3 linked regions of the Macaca fascicularis genome follow. The protein of the gene in region 1 binds, or shares a complex with, the protein of each later gene. Links are inferred from orthologs where the notes say so. Each region holds a gene or a part of one and is shown on either strand. Other genes may lie near its edges.

Region 1 (6,044 bases):
TACAAAAATTAGCAGAGTATGGTGAAGCGTGCCTATAATCCCAGGTACTTGGGAGGCTGAAGCAGAAGAATTGCTTGAACCCAGGAGGCAGAGGTTGCACTGAGCTGAGATCAAGCCATTGCACTCCAGCCTGGGCTACAGAGTGAGACTACATCTCAAAAAAAAAAAAAAAAAAAGGCTGGGCATGGTGGCTCACGCCTGTAATCCTAGCACTTTGGGAGACCAAGACAGGCAGATCACCTGAGGTCGACCAACATGGAGAAACCCCATCTCTACTAAAAATACAAAATTAGCTGGGCGTGATGGCACATGCCTGTAATCCCAGCTACTTGGGAGGCTGAGGCAGAAGAATGGCTTGAACCCGGGAGGTGGAGCCTGCGGTGAGTCGAGATCGCGCCATTGCACTCCAGCCTGGGCAACAAGAGCGAAACTCTGTCTCAAAAAAAAAAAAAAAAAAAAAAAATTTTAACTTGGCTGAGCATGGTGGCTCACGCCTATAATCCCAGCACTTTGGGAGGCTGAGGCAGGTACATTACCTGAGCTCAGGGGTTCAAGACCAGTCTGGGCAACATGATGAAACCCCTGTCTCTACCAAAAATACAAAAAAATTGGCCAGATGTGGTGGTGTACCCCTGTAATCTCAGCTACTAGTGAGGCTGAGCCAGGAGAATTGCTTGAACCTGAGAGAGGCAGAGGTTGTAGTAAGCCGAGATCGTGCCACTGCACTCCAACCTGGGCAACAGAGTGAGACTTTGTCTCAAAAAAAAAAAAGACCTTAAGTGGCATTGACAGTGTTTGTGATTCTAGAATCAGGCTACATTTCATTCCATAAAATAAATAGAATGAGTATTCAGATGAGTCAAGCACAGGTTAGTTTTATGGATGAAAAAGGGCAGAGAAAAATAGAAACAGAAGAAAAAAAAGTAGATTGGTCATTTCAAAGTTACTTGTCTTGTAAAGGTTAAAGAAGAAAGGACTTCCGTATCATGCCGGCTAAAACTGGCCTGTTTGGGGTTTTGGCTGTTCCTTCTCTCTCCTGATTCCTCTGAAGGTTTGATAAACAACTTAGTGTTGCTTAGTGACATGGAACTTTAGCATGAGTGACTCCATTTTGGTTTGGTCTGTTGGGCCTAGCACAGGAGCTCAGTGCAAACCAATAGCCTCCTATATAATTGAACCCTTGTGCATCGCTGGTGGGAATATAAAATCGCTGCAGCTACCATGGAAAATCATATGGCGATTCCTCAGAACATTAAACAGAATTACCATAGGATCCAGCAATTCTATCTGTGGGTGTATATCCAAAATAATTGAAAGCAGAGACTCGAACAGATATCTGTACACTCACATTCAAAGCAGCAACATTCACAACAGCCAAAGGGTGGAAGCAACCCAAATGTCCATGGAGGGATGAATGGTTATGCAAAATGTGGTACATCTATACAACGTAATATTATTCAGTTGTAAAACGGAAGGAAATTCTGACACATGCTACAAAATGGAAGGATCTTGAAGATATTAAGTGAAAGCAGCCAGACCCAAAAAGACAAATACTGTATAATTCTACTCATATCAGGTGCCTAGAGTAGTCAAGGGGAAGTTACTGTTTAATCGCTATAGAGTTTCAGTTTGGGAAGATGAGAAAGTTCTAGAAAAGAATGGTGGTGACGGTTACAGAGCAATGTGAGTGTACTTGATGCCACAGAACTGTATGCAGTAATTACAAATGGTTACAGTGGTAAATTTTGGCCAGGAGTGGTGGCTCATGCCTGTAATTCCAGCATTTTGGGAGGCCGAGGTAGGAGGATTGATTGAGGTCAGGAGTTCAAGACCATCCTGGGCAACACGGTGAGATCCTCATCTTTATAAAAATACATTTTAAAAATTTAAAAATTACCTGGGCGTGGTAGCACACGCCTGTAGTCCCAGCTACTCGGGAGGCTGAAGTGGGAGGATCACTTAAGCCAGAAGTTCGAGGCTACAGTGAGCTATGATCTTACCACTGCACTCCAGCCTGGGCGACAGAGCGAGACACTTCTAAAAAATAAAAAATGAAAAGGTAACATACATGTGTATGTATTGTAACACCATTGAAACATAGAAATTTAAACGAAGAAAAGCTGGCTTCTAGCCCTTGGACCTAGCAAAGCTGGCAGAGTCCTCACCTACCAATATAGGTAGGTGACTCCTTACACGTGGACAAGCACGTCCACCTGGTCGCTTCGCCCCTACCCTCCCCTCCCTTCCCCTTCCCGCGTCTCCCCTCCCTTCCCCTTCCCGCGTCTCCCCTCCCCTCCCCTCCGCTCCCCTCCCCTCCCCCACACATCCATGTTCCGACCCTGCCACCCCTAACAAGTCTCACTGCGCAGGCGCGGAGCGGTGGGCAGGAGCAGGCGTGGCCTGACTGTGCGCTTGTGCCGAATTCCAGCTGCGACTGCTGAGGAAGAAAATGATGCCCAGGTTGGGCTCCACGGCCCACCGGCCGAGGAGAGGCCTGCGCTGCACACGCGCAGACCGAGCATCCGCGTCAAGAGGCGAAGAGAGCGCGCGCTCCCCACGTCCTGCGCGCCTGGCTGCCAGGCATTCGTCTCAGCCGTGACTCTCGCCAGGCCGGGGCTGGGGCGCCCACGTCTGAAGAGCGATGCCCCGGGAGATCATCACCCTGCAGCTGGGCCAGTGCGGCAACCAGAGTGAGCAAGCGAGCGCCGCCCCCACCGGTCTCTGGTTCTGCCCCTTTGGGTCCCACCCAAGTGCCTGGCTTCCACCAGTCCCCCTTCCCCTTCCATGAACCCCCTAGCCTGCTGCTCTGGATAACCCAGACCGAGAGCTGCGCTCCCAGCCCGGGACTGGGGCAGCCACCAGACCCAGGCATCTTGGGTCCACCCTCTGATCGTGTCGGCCTCTGAGACTAAAACTGGGCTCCTCAGGCCTTAAGGCTCCAGCAGACCCGGGCATCTCCCCCCTCCCCCAGTTGGGTTCGAGTTCTGGAAACAGCTGTGCGCTGAGCATGGTATCAGCCCCGAGGGCATCGTGGAGGAGTTCGCCACCGAAGGCACTGACCGCAAGGACGTCTTTTTCTACCAGGTGCCCCCAGCGACTTGGCCAAGGGCGGCAATGGCCCGAGGGGCCAGAAGGGAAGGGAGTGGCCTGGTACTGGGAACCCTGCTGGGCAGTGGGGCCAGGCGGCTGGCTTGAGGAGGGAGGGCTGGAGGGAGCCAGAGTTGGGAGGACTTAGGACTTGGGCCACCCTAGCTGATTGGGCCCCCTCCTGGACTCCCCTTGACAGGCAGACGATGAGCACTACATCCCCCGGGCCGTGCTGCTGGACCTGGAGCCCCGGGTGATCCACTCCATCCTCAACTCCCCCTATGCCAAGCTCTACAACCCAGAGAACATCTACCTGTCGGAGCATGGAGGAGGAGCTGGCAACAACTGGGCCAGTGGATTCTCCCAGGTGTCCGGGCGACTATTCCAGAGACCTTTGATAGTCCCATCCAGAGGCAAGGGAGGCTCAAGCTACTAGGAATTTGACCAGACTGCCAGAAAATAAGAGACAAAAGGATTCCCCAAACAAGAGGGACAGCCAGGGAGAGGTTTATGCAAATTTTGTGCAAATCATTTGCAATAGTAGCACTTCTGGGTTGAGGGCTACAGCCTAGGCTTTGCTTCAGGGTGGCAACAGTATTCCAGGGTAGACAGTGCTGTACTGAGAAAAGATGCGCTCTGGAACCTTTGGCCTGACCCTCCCTTTCCATGTCTCTATACAGGGTGAGAAAATTCATGAAGACATCTTTGATATCATAGACCGAGAAGCAGATGGAAGTGACAGTTTAGAGGTGAAGTTATGGAGTGGGGGAAGGAATGGGCAGGGAGGCTGAAGAGTGCTGGGGAAACGTCAGGAGGTGGCCTGGATAGGTGATGTGAGGGGAGCAATTCAATTCAAAACCCATTTATGGAGCATCAGATGTGGGATATTGAGGTGAATAAAATATAATCTTTGTTCTTAAGGAAGTCATAAATCTGAATGGCACTGGCCCCTTAGGCATGAGTCACTCAGCTTCTCCAGCTCCAAACCTTCCCAAGGAGCCTCAGCCTGGATGCGTAAGAGGAAGCTTTGAGACATGGGCGTTTTGGGAATGGGGAATGAGCCATGCCGAAGTCTTCCCCCAGATCCTTGGAGACTGCCTCTCCGTCTCTCCCCATGCTGGGCGCGATGTGTTCCTGGCTTACAACTCTTATAACCCATGTAATTTCCTAAGGGACTAGAGCAATAAGAGTATGTTTTGTTACAATATTTGACCTTTCGTCCTTGGTTTCTGAAACAGCTCCAGAACAGCTCCAGAGTGATAAAGGTGAAAGACAGTCTTTTGTTATTTATAACAAGCCCCTTTCTTTTAGATTAATCTTTCATTTTATTTTAATTAGTTAATTTTACTAACCGCTGTACTAAGGAGGAACAAGTGCATTTCAACCAAACCTGAGCTTATGTTAAAGAGGCGATTTTTTGGAAAGTCCCAGATAGCCACTGGATGGGGTGTTGGTTGCCAGGGGAACAAACCTGGTGCTCTGAGGGTTGGAATTTACAGGCCCATCCCTCACCTCTGGGGAAGGGAGAGGGATGAAGATTGAGTAGAGCACCAATTGTCAATGATTTAATCAGTCATGCCTGTGTAATGAAGCCTCCATAAAAATCCAAAAGGACTGAGTTCGGGGGCTTCCAGGAAGGTGAACAAGAACACATCCACAGGCCGGGAGGCTGCAAACCCAGCACCACAGGGCAGCAGCTCCTGTGCGCCGGAACCTTCCAGAGCTTCCCCTCGGTATCTCTTCATCTGGCTGTTTATTTGTATCCTTTAAAATATCCTTTATAACAAACGGGTAAACGTAAGTGGGTGTCTCCTTGAGTTCTGCGAGCTACTCTAACAAATTAATTGAACCCAAGGAGCAGTCCTGAGAACCCCAATTTATAGCCGGTTGGTCAGAGGCACAGATAAAACAACCTGAAGCTTGTATTGGCATTGGAAGTGGGAGAGTCTTGTGGGACTGAGCCTTCACTCTGTGGGATCCGATGCTATCTTTAGGTACGGATACTTCTCAACTTACAGTGGGTTTATCAGGACATCACAAATTGAAAATATTGACTAGGCACAGTGGCTCATGCCTGTAATCCCAGCACTTTGGGAGGCTGAAGCGGGTGGATCACCTGAGCCCAGGACCTGGGCAACATGGTGAAACCCCATCTCTGCAAAAAATACAAACATCATCCAGGCATGGTGCTGCCTGTAGTCCTAGCTACTTGGAGGTTGAGATAGGAAGATGCCTTGAGCCCAGGAATTCAAGGCTGCAGTGAGCTATGATCACACCACTACACTGCAGTCTGGGGGACTGAGTGAGATCCTGTCTCTAAAACCAAAACAAATTTCAGGCTGGGCGCGGTAGCTCATGCCTGTAATCCCAGCACTTTGGGAGGCCGAGGCGGGTAGATCAATTGAGGTCAGGAGTTCAAGGCCAGCCTGACCAAAATGGTGAAACCCCATATCTACTAAAAATACAAAAATTAGCCAGGCATGGTGGTGCATGCCCATAGTCCCAGCTACTTAACAGGCTGAGGCAGGAGAATGGCTTGAACCTAGGAAGCAAAGGTTGCAGTGAGCCAAGATTGGGCACTACAGCCTGGGTGACAGAGCAAGACTCCGTCTCAAAAAAAGAAAAAAAAATTGAAAATATTGTAAGTAGAAATGTGTCAGGTTATAACCCAATTAGCCCATCATGAAGTTGAAAAATTGTAAATTGAACCGTTGTAATTCAGATGCTTCTTGATTTAAGATGGGATTACATCCTGATAAACCCATCATAAAGCCAAAACATCTTAAATTAAACCATCCTAAGTCAGGGACAGTCTGTAGGTAGTCCAGAATTCAAGTGAATTAGTGGATACCCAGCTGGCATCTACTGTAGAATTGGCTGCTTACCTGATGTGTGTGGTAAAACCCCACCCATCTGGTATCAGAATTGTGTTGTGAGAGTGTGGCAGGAGAAACTGA
Region 2 (5,267 bases), on another chromosome or scaffold:
GCTTTCTGTGCAGAAGCTCTTTAGTCCCACTTGTCAATTTTTGTTTTTGTTGCCATTACTTTTGAGGACTTAGTCATAAATTCTTTCCCAAGGCCAATGTCCAGAATGGTGTTTCCTAGATTTTCTTCTAGGATTCTTACAGTTTGAGGTCTTACTTTCAAATCTTTAATCCATCTTGAGTGAAGTTTTGTATATGGTTAAAATTAGGGGGCCAGTTTCATTCTTCTGCTTATGGCTAGACAGGTATCCCAGCACCATTTATTGAATAGAGAATCCTTTCCCCATTGCTTATTTTTGTTGACTTTGTCAAAGTTCAGATGGCTGTAGATGTGTGACTTTATTTCTGGGTTCTCTATTATGTTCCAGTGATCTATGTGTCTATTTTTGTACCAGTACCATGCTGTTTTGGTTACTGTAGCCTGTTGTACTTTTAAATTATTTTGGTAGTCTTGTATACATAAAGCAATGTTCATGGAACCCTTCTATTTTAACTAAATAGTTTGATATATATTTTGTTCCTTGACACATAACAAATAATATATGTTACACTGAATCTATATATTCTAAATATTTGACATGTAATTAAATTTAAGTGAATATTTTGCATACTCATGTTACTGTTGACAAAGAGTGTTTACACTTCTAATAAGAAAGAATGTTGTATCAGCCAAATGAAATGGCCACAGTAGACATGTTATTTGATATCCTGCACTGAGTAGTGGGTTTTTAAAAAAAAATTTTTATATGAGAAAATTATTATGCTATAGATTATTTCAAATCAAGCATTATAAAATATTCCTGTCTTGTTAGAATAGCCATATACAATTTTCTAGAAAATTGGTGGAAATTATCTTTTGGTATAAACTTTGTATATGTTTATAGAATTGAATTACAACTCCTAGTCTAATGATTTATATGTGATTTACGTGCAGTAAATTTTATTATAAGAATGGATTAACTAGTTGCCTGTTAATGAGAACGATGTAACAATAGACTAGGTGAAGTAATTGCATGAAACAGTATCTATGATCAGGCACATCATTCCCTGTATTGTTACATGCCATATTCATAGGCTTATTTGATAGTGTGTTTTGAGAATTCTGTATTAATAGGGCATTAGATTGTAAGTGTCTCGAAGGGGGTATTTTTTTTATGGCACAGAGGCTGATGTTGTAGGTAATGATTAAATGCTTACTGAGTGACTAAACATGGTTTGCTCCCTTGATTTGGGTTTTTTTAATCTAATGGTTGGTCTTGGGAGTTTTGTTTGTTTTGACATCAAAGGTTTGGCAGAAAGTGTATAAGGAGGTATTATCGACTTCTTAGGGTAGAAGATAAGAATACTTTTTTGTACATACTATTTCTTAGAAATATTCTTCAAAATGAATGGGAGTGTTTTAAAAAGGAAGTACTGAGGGGAGGTGACATATAACATGGTACAGGGTGGAAGGAAGTGTGTAAAAAATAGTCGTAAGTTAGTGGGCACAAAACAGCCTGTCACAGCATGCTCCTTTCTCCAGGAGGGTCTCTTCTCTCTACTTCAGATGAGAGAAAAACATGGGCTTACTCTAAAAAGTACTATGTCCCTGCTTAATACAGTCAGAAGGAGGATGTCACTTATTTCATAGTTAAACTTGTCATTGCATCCTGTACACATATAAAAGTAGAAAATAAAATGAGATATTGTTTTTTATACCTTGCGGGACTGTGACTCAGTGCTGGATTTTTAATCAAGAACCTATGCATAAGCTTTAATAATTTAATACAGAAATAGCCCAGAGTAGTTTTTACACTAATAAAAGGATATTTCTTGAAGCCTGCTGGTTTTTTGTTTTTTTTTTTTTTTAAATCACCAAACCAACTCAGTGTTTATTGGTTGAGAGAGTTCTTTGTCAGTCTTTGAATTCTAATAGTTTTACACAAAAAATAAATAAATTCTTTCTAAAAATATGTTACAAGGCATCCATCCCTGTCATCAATTTGTATATTGTGAAATTGTACTTGACTGCAGTGGTAAACACATGTAAATAAAAAGGAAAATCCTCTGTACCTGTTAGAGCACTGGGAAAAGCGTAGGTCAACAATATGCATTTTAAGTCATATAATAGTCTTAATTTAACAGAACAGTGGTTTTTCTGCTAACAGTAATTTGACATTACTAGTGATTTGAAGTGAATTGAGCCACTGCAAGACAGTCAATTTATGAAAAATTTCTCCTGCCCCTGTAAAATTAACTATTCTCAATGGTTCTAAGATTATTAATATTCATGTCTATGTTGAAATAATCCAATTTAAATATATCCTGTTGTTAAGACAGATAACTAGGTTGACAGAAAAAAGAAGCAAACTAATCTTCTGTTTTGCAGTGAGCTGATCCAGTTTATTACGAGTGGTCCTGTTATTGCCATGGAGATTTTAAGAGATGATGCTATATGTGAATGGAAAAGACTGCTGGGACCTGCAAACTCTGGGGTGGCACGCACAGATGCTTCTGGAAGCATTAGAGCCCTCTTTGGAACAGATGGCATAAGAAATGCAGCGCATGGCCCTGATTCTTTTGCTTCTGCGGCCAGAGTAAGGAGTTTTAAAAATATTTTAATTCTCTTCTAATTCTTTTAAATGTTTTATATGAAAGTAAAGCATTTCTGTCACTGGTGACTTAGGGTGGATTTATGCCACTGATCTAGTAGTAGAGAAAATCTTTGACATTTTGCTTAGTATCAAATAGTGTTTCAGTATATCTCCTTTGTGAACTGGTAACCTGATCATGATCAACGTAAGTTTTCTCCAATAAAACACTTCTCATCCTGTTTCTTGTTCCAAAGACTTAAATTACTGAGGCTCCTAAATGTTTGAATTATTGAATTCATGTAAGAATACCAGTTTACGGCTAGCAGATATTAAAAAGAAGATATAATTGGAGATATTATAAAGAAGATATAATTGGAGATATTACCTTTTGATTCAGACCTAACACTGTACTTTCAAGCTTAACATCTTATTATTTTCCTATATGTACCTAGTGTTTATGAAAGTTTCTCTACTCCTTATTTTTAAATCCATATAAATAAAGCATTATATTGGATTTATGCTGAGGTTGAATTAATGAAGTGTAAGTTTATTTTTAGCATTGTGAGAAGTGTCTCACTTAAAGTAGTTTTTAATCTGGTCGTGTTTGCAATGAAACAATATTAGACAGTTTTATAATTGATTTCCTTCTTTTTCTTACCATTTCATCAGCAAGTCCCTTCAGCTCTTTCAAAATAAACCCTGAATCTGATCATTGTGGTCTAAATCACTAATGTATTTTGCCAGAACTGCTACAATAGCCTCCAAATTATTTTTTCCTCTTTTCTTACACTCAATTTATGAAAATTTTACCTTGCCCAAGTACAATTAACTATGCCCAGTGATCTTTTAAAGACAAATCTGATTAACATTCACCTGCTGAAAACCCTTCAGTGAATTTCTGTCTCTTCTAGAATAAAATCTACAGTCTTTATTGTAGCCTCCAATACTCTATCTAGTCTGGCCCCTATCTATCTCTAACTGTATCTTTGATCAATCTCTATTTTAATCACTGTGTTCCAGGCATACTAACCATCTCACTATTCCTTAAATAGCATATTTCTGTCTAGAATAGTCAACTAACAGCAAAGAGGACAGTGTGGTTGGATAGGAATGAGAGAGGGAGGAAGAGGGTGATGAGGTTACAGAGGTAATTAGGGGAACGATTATATGGTCTTATAGGCCGTAGTAGTACTTTTAGATTTCTCTCTGAAAAAATAGAGCCATTGTAGGGTTTTGAGCAAAGGACTGATATGTTCCACTTGCCATTTAAAAGGATCATTCTGGCTGTTGCATTAAGAATGACTATAGAGGCCAGGAGTGGTGGCTTACGCCTGTAATCCCAGCACTTTGGGAGGCCAAGGCGGGCAGATTACTTGAGGTCAGGAGTTCAAGACCAGCCTGGCCAACATGGTAAAACCCTGTTTCTACTAAAAATACAAAAATTAGCTCGATGTGGTGGTGCCCACCTATAATCCCAGCTACTCCAGAGGCTGAGGCGGGAGAATTACTTGAACCAGGGAGGTGGAGGTTGCAGTGAACTGAGATCACGCCACTGTACTCTAGCCTGGGTGACAGAGTCAGACTCCATCTTGAAAAAAGAAAAAAAGAATGACAATAGAGGGCAAAAACGGCAACAGGGAGCCTAATCAGGAGTTTGTTGGAATAACCCAGCGAGATGATTGCTTGGACCCAGGTGGTAATAATGAAAGAAGTATACAAATATATTTTAAAATATATATTAATGGTTGAAGGTCAAAGAAACAAGATTTTCTGCTAGACTGAATGTAGAGTATGAGAAAAAGATATCAAGGATTACTCCAAAGTTCTTAGCCTGATTAACAGAAGGATAGAATTTACATAAACTAAAATGAGGCAAACTGTGGCTAGAGTCAGAATGAATGGACAAATCAGGAGTTACGTTTTGGACATTTGTAAACTTAACCTGTTTGTTAGTTATCCAATTAGACTGATGAATGAAAAAAATTAGTATACAGCTTAGAGTTATCAGCACATCAATGGTATTTAATGCTGGGAGACTGGTTGAGATTACCAAGGAGAAGGTGTAGATAGAGAAGGAAAGAGCACCAAAGATGAAGCTGCCTCTTGATAAAAGGTCAAGGAAAAGAAGGCAGCAAAGGAGGTTGAGGAGGAGCCACCAGAGAGGTAAGAGGAAAAACTGAGATAATTATGTCCTCGAGGCCAAGTGAATCAAATATTCTAAAATGAGAGAATGACCAGTAGTGTCAAATATGGCAGATATATCAAGTAAGAAGAGGACTGAGAATGGATTGTTAAATTTTGCAATGTGGATATCATTGGTGAACTTTGTAAGGTCAATGTTGATGGGGAGGTAGAGGCAAAACCCTGTGTGGAGTAGACTTAAAAGAAAATTGTGGGACAGGAATTGGAGTTAATGAATATAGACAACTTTTTCTTTTGAGGAGTTTTCCTGCAAAGAGATGAGGTGGTAGCTGTCAAGAAAAGCAGGATCAATTTTTTTTAAGATGAGAGGTTTTAGGTAAAAAATTGATGATGTAGGAAAAAGAGGGAGACTTGTTGGAGCAATTTCATTAATTAGGCAAAAGGGAATGGAAATTAGAACCCAGGTGGAGAGATTGGCAGGCGTGCATCTCAGGTACTCGTCTGTAGCAACAGATGGGAAGGGAGAATATGTGAACACAGATGCTGATTCTTAA
Region 3 (5,267 bases), on another chromosome or scaffold:
CTTTGGGAGGCTGAGACGGGCGGATCACGAGGTCAGGAGATCGAGACCATCCTGGCTAACACGGTGAAACCCCGTCTCTACTAAAAAATACAAAAAACTAGCTGGGCGAGGTGGCGGGCGCCTGTAGTCCCAGCTACTTGGGAGGCTGAGGCAGGAGAATGGCGTGAACCCGGGAGGCGGAGCTTGCAGTGAGCTGAGATCCGGCCACTGCACTCCAGCCTGGGCGACAGAGCGAGACTCTGTCTCAAAAAAAAAAAAAAATGAATCCCAATTTAGAGAGGTCAAGGCTTAACGCTTGATCATGACCTAGCTCTATGTGTTTATTTTTGTTTTTAAAACCAAGAATTCTGAACCACAAGAATCAATAACAACAAGGTTCTGACCCACGTGGGAGTTGTGCTGCCAGGTGGCCACGTGACTCTGAGCCTACCCAATCCTGACTCCCCATTTCCCTCCTCTAATTTTTGACAGTTTCGAGGGAATGCTTTCAGATTGTTATAATTTTTATTATTCCTTCCGTATTTGGTACTTGTTCTTGGTTTTGATTTTATGTCCTACCCTGGTCTTTTGATGTAAGTCATCTCCCAGTCTCTCTCCTTGGAGCTGCGACGTTCCTGCCTTTGTGACCTTAAAGCTCCCTTTGGAGCTGTGTCCCTGAGGCGTCCTGGCCTTGTGGTGCATGTTGAGTACAGCGGCTCCTGAGGGCCTGGCCGGTTTTTGCTGGGCATGTTCTGTGCTGGACATGGTGCTAGGCCTCTGTTCACGTCTCCCTCAGCCCTGGCGCCGCGCTGTGTGTGGCACGTAAGGAGACTGGGTCGTGCTGCCACGTGCAGAGACAGTTTGCACTTGCCCTGTGCCTGACCAGCCCTGAGTGGGAGTCAGTGCTTCCGAAAGCTGGGCCAGCCCAGGCCGACCTGTCAGCTTCCGGCGGCCACTGGCACAGGAGGGCAGGCGCTCTGACCACATGTCAGGAGCCAGCCTGTCGCGCTGGGGCCGTTCTCCAGCAGGGTAAGGACGCAAGTCTATTGCTAACACCTGTCTTCACCCAGCAAGTGGTGTTCAGACCTAGTCACTGCCAGGAAGAAGCAATTCAGCTTGTTCATGGGGTACCCTCCTCTGAAACAGCGGCTCTGTGCCAAGGTGCCCCCTCTCCTGTGGTTCCCACTGCTGGTGCCCATGGTTTCCCAGGGGGCCCTTGCTGGACCTGGACTCCTGAGAGGAGGGGCTGGGGCTCCCCATCTGCCCTGTTCTCCCCAGCCCCTCGTGTGGCAGGGATATCGAGCTGCATTTCATTTCTATGTGGCTGACTCTTTGTGGGTGCTAAATTGACTAATCATCTTTGCTGTAGATGTTAGTTTCTACAGGTGTATTGAGTGTTTGCACTAAAGTGTATCTTTCTGGTTTTGTTTTTAAAAATGTCCTTGCTAGTCTCTGGAACTTAAAAGAAAGATGCTTCGAGACAAGCAGAACAAAAAAAATTCGGGCCAGCACCTCCCTGTCTTCCCAGCGTGGGTGTATGAGAGACCTGCCCTGATCGGGGATTTCCTGATTGGTGCTGGCATCAGCACAGACACCGCTTTGCCGATAGGTACGTGATGCGTTTATTTCCGGGCTCTGCCGATAGGTATGTGATGGGTTTATTTCTGGCCCCTGGGCAGGACACTCTGAGGCCCAGCCCTCCCCTGGGCCTGCCCTTCCTCAGGTTGTGAGGCTCGATGCTGACTGGCCGCTGCCTCCATATTCCTATCCCAGGGTGGCAGCAGAAAGTGGCTCCCCTGGGTCCTTGAGGGTTCTTCTCCCGTCCCTCCTGCCAGAGCTGTGGGGCAGCCTACAGCAGGCCCCTCCCCAGCTGGCATCCTGGTGCCCTGGTGCAGACCTGCAGGCACCAGAATTGTGTGCAGCACTTACTTCTGAACAGCGGTTCATAACTCCCATAGATTCTGTTCCCAGAGGCCTCTTAAAGTAGTGCTCGTGTAAACAAGATGCAAGTGAGACCACACAGTCATTTCAAGGCATGTTGTTGGGGACCCGGGGTGTGTTCATCTGTCACAATTCATGGGTACATTTTTATCTATTTTTAATTCTTTTGAGATGGAATCTCACTCTGTCGCTGGAGAGCAGTGGTGCGATCTCGGCTCACTGCAACCTCCACCTCCCAGGTTCAAGCAATTCTCCTGCCTCAGCCTCCCAAGTAGCTGGGACTGCAGGTGCCACCACGCCCAGCTAATTTTTGTATTTTTAGTGGAGGTGGGGTTTTGCCATGTTGGCCAGACTGGTCATGAACTCCTGACCTCTGGTGATCTGCCCACCTTGGCCTCCCAAAGTGTGGGATTGCAGGCGTGAGCCACCACACCTAGTCAAGTACATTTTTAGATTGAAAAATGAGATTTCACGAACTTAAGGACAGAGATACCTGCTTGTCTTGCTTGTCTTGCCTCTGCCTATTAGTCCAAACTCAAGAGGCAGCGTGGAACGCGATCTGCTTTCCCACTGCTCGCGCAGCTCTGCGGTGTAGGCACCGAGAGGCCAACCCTTGCCTTTGCCAGAAACCCTGGAGAACGGTGACATGAAATCCACCTGTTTTCCTCATTCCCAACAAACAGAACTCTGCTGTAAGTTAATGAAAAGTGTAGAAAACAGTCTACTTTGGCCGGGCGTGGTGGCTCACACCTGTAATCCCAGCGCTTAGGGAGGGTGAGGTGGGTGGATCACCTGAGCCCAGGAATTCGAGACCAGCCTGGGCAACATGACAAGACTAGTCTCTACAAAAAGTATAAAAATTAGCCGAGTGTGGTAGCGGGCACCTGTAGTCCCAGCTCCTCAGGAGGCTGAGGTGGGAGATCACTTGAGCCTGGGAGGTCGAGGCTGCAATGAGCTGTGATCATGCCACTGCACTCCAGCTTGGGCAACAGAGTAAGACCCTGTTTCAAAAAAAAAGAAAACAGTCTGCTTTGTGCAGTGTGTTTTCAGTAATAATCCAACTGTGAAGAGTTAGGGAGAGAGAGCCGCTCCCTTAGCAGGTATTTAGCGGGCGGCTGGGGCAGCAGTGGGCATCTGAGAGCTCCTGATGATGCCCAGGGAGGCTTCAGAGAAGGACGCGCGGGTCCCTGGTGCCCGAGATCCCGGCAGTGGAGCACAGCGGAACCAGCTTTCTGGAGCAGGAAGCACTGAGGGGGGTGTTCAGGCTTTCCCCCCATGTTTCCCCATCCAGGGAAGGGGCTGTGTCCAATAATGCTGGGTGCCATGGGCAGCTCTGAGCATGGCGGTGATTGGAAGCAAGTGTGTGGGACTTGGCTGTGAACCCTGCAGCCGGCTCTCAGGTCAGGGTGCGGGTGCCCTCGGCACACTCAGCGCCCTAGGGAAGGGGCGGCCTTGCCCCACCTCCCTCCCACGGCCACAGGTCCCAGGCGTGCCACCGGCATCGAGCCTGCCTCGCCTCCCTTTGTCCGCACTGTCCCCGCCCCCTCGTGCCGCCTGCGCAGACTCGAGAATGGAGCTCACTGTGGTGTTCGTGCGGGGCCTGTCCAGCCCTTACCCCACGATTTGACCAGTGCCACACCACGGGACCTTGCATGACCTGGGGCCAGCGTCCTCTGGAAAACACCCCTGGAGTGGTGTGTGATGAGGACACGTGCCTTGGAAAGCATCAGGACCTTGTGAGCACGAGGCGGCTGCCAGCCCTCCACGTTCCCGCCGTGCCTCTCCACAGTGTGGGCGTCCACCTGGCCAGCGCCGCCGCGGCAGCGTCCTCCCTCTCGTCGCTGCTGTGCAGCGTGCGGAGCTGTTTGCCTACCCGCGTCCTGCCTTTTCCCCACACCGGCACGGAGGAGCCACGTGGTCAGTGGTCGTTCGGACGTGGTGATTCGCAGACGACGACGCAGGTGTTGAGAAGACACCAAGGATGTTGAATATTGGGGAGGTGAAGCAACTGACTTCTTTTTTTCTTGAGACAGGGTCTCACTTCGTTGCCTTGGCTGGAGTGCAGTGGCGTGATCTCAGCTCACTGCAGCCTCGACCGCCCAAGCTCAGGTGATTCTCCCACCTCAGCCTGCCGAGTAGCTGGGACTGCAGGCGTGCACCATCACACGCAGCTAATTTCTGTATTTTTAGTAGAGACGGGAATTTGTCATGTTGCCCAGGCTGGTTTGAACTGGAGTCAAGCGATCTGTCCACCTTGGCCTCCTAAAGTGATGGGATTACAGGTGTGAGCCGCCGTGCCCGGCCTTGAGGTCCCTCCACAGTCAGGCAGCCGGATCCACACTAACCCCCACCCCACCGTGAGGCTTCTCCCCACATGGGCACTGGCCACTTCGTGGCTGTGGGTGAATGAGGCCAACAGGGTGGAAAGGAAGTGGTGCAGAGTCAGAGGCAGTTCCTGGAAGATGCACTTGCTGTTCTCGAACCCCCACGCCACACCTGCTGCTTTAGGAATGGCAGACCTCGGGGTCCCTGTTTTATTGGCCATCCTGAGAAGCCGCTGGAGTAATAGACAGAAATGGAACTTGAAGCTGAAAAGTGTAGATCTGCCAGCCTGGGCAACACGGCCCGACCCCGCCTCTACAAAAAATTTAAAAATTAGCCGGGAATGGTGGCATGCGCCTGTGTTCCCAGCTCTGAGGGAGGCTTAAGAGGCAGGATCGCTTGAGCCTAGGTGCTCAAGGCTGCAGTGAACTGAGATTGCACCACTGCACTCCAGCCTGGGTGACAGAGCAAGATTTGTCTCAAAAAGGAAAAAAAAACAAGGACAATGTGGATCTGCATCGTGATTGAGGCTTTTGCCGAAGGGCTTGCGTTGGTGACGGATTGCAGCTGCGCTCAGAGTCTTGAGGCCTGCAGTACAGGACACTTCCCAGCAGACGTGTGAGGCCGACAGTGATTTTGTAAACTGGAAGCGTGTTGTTTGGAGCCTTCCTGAGCTGCTAGGGCCTGGTTTGGGTGTGGTCTGGCTGGCACGGGGCCCTGTCAGGCCCACGTGGGGACAGTTTCAACATCGTGCTTTCCTCTGGTGCTCCTCCTGGCCCCCCAGGCAGGGCCCGCCTGAGGCTGTGGACTGAGAACTTGGTCCTGGGACGTGAGGGGTTTGGTAGGTGACGGCCTGTGGCTGTCCTCATGAGGAAACTTAGCTGTGTGTCCTGCAGCCGTCTCATGCTGTGTGGATAGAAATTATCAGCGTTTCTTAACGTATAAATGATAACTTTTTGAAGACAAGGTTTTTTGTACCAGAGTAACCCAGACTTACCAAGTTGTACTTACGAATGTTGAAAGTG

What was found. The genes of interacting proteins can lie anywhere in the genome.
Region 2: tubulin gamma-2 chain (region 1) and NME7 share a complex: the UniProt entries of both Homo sapiens proteins name them as parts of the gamma-tubulin ring complex. The link is inferred for Macaca fascicularis from reciprocal best matches to the Homo sapiens genes TUBG2 and NME7.
Region 3: tubulin gamma-2 chain (region 1) and TUBGCP2 share a complex: the UniProt entries of both Homo sapiens proteins name them as parts of the gamma-tubulin ring complex. The link is inferred for Macaca fascicularis from reciprocal best matches to the Homo sapiens genes TUBG2 and TUBGCP2.

The regions. Positions count from the first base shown.
Region 1 is NC_088390.1:63,715,676-63,721,719, forward strand, and holds the start of tubulin gamma-2 chain, read left to right. Parts: upstream 1-2,419; 5' UTR 2,420-2,641; coding exon 2,642-2,690; intron 2,691-2,971; coding exon 2,972-3,084; intron 3,085-3,286; coding exon 3,287-3,454; intron 3,455-3,767; coding exon 3,768-3,836; intron 3,837-4,325; coding exon 4,326-4,352; intron 4,353-4,699; exon of another isoform or gene 4,700-5,081; intron 5,082-6,044. UniProt on the Homo sapiens protein: Tubulin is the major constituent of microtubules, protein filaments consisting of alpha- and beta-tubulin heterodimers. Gamma-tubulin is a key component of the gamma-tubulin ring complex (gTuRC) which mediates microtubule nucleation.
Region 2 is NC_088375.1:26,935,820-26,941,086, reverse strand, and holds part of NME7 (nucleoside diphosphate kinase homolog 7), read left to right. Parts: intron 1-2,366; coding exon 2,367-2,574; intron 2,575-5,267. UniProt on the Homo sapiens protein: Possesses an intrinsic kinase activity. Displays 3'-5' exonuclease activity with a preference for single-stranded DNA. Does not seem to have nucleoside diphosphate kinase activity.
Region 3 is NC_088383.1:142,363,763-142,369,029, reverse strand, and holds part of TUBGCP2 (gamma-tubulin complex component 2), read left to right. Parts: intron 1-1,428; coding exon 1,429-1,588; intron 1,589-5,267. UniProt on the Homo sapiens protein: Component of the gamma-tubulin ring complex (gTuRC) which mediates microtubule nucleation.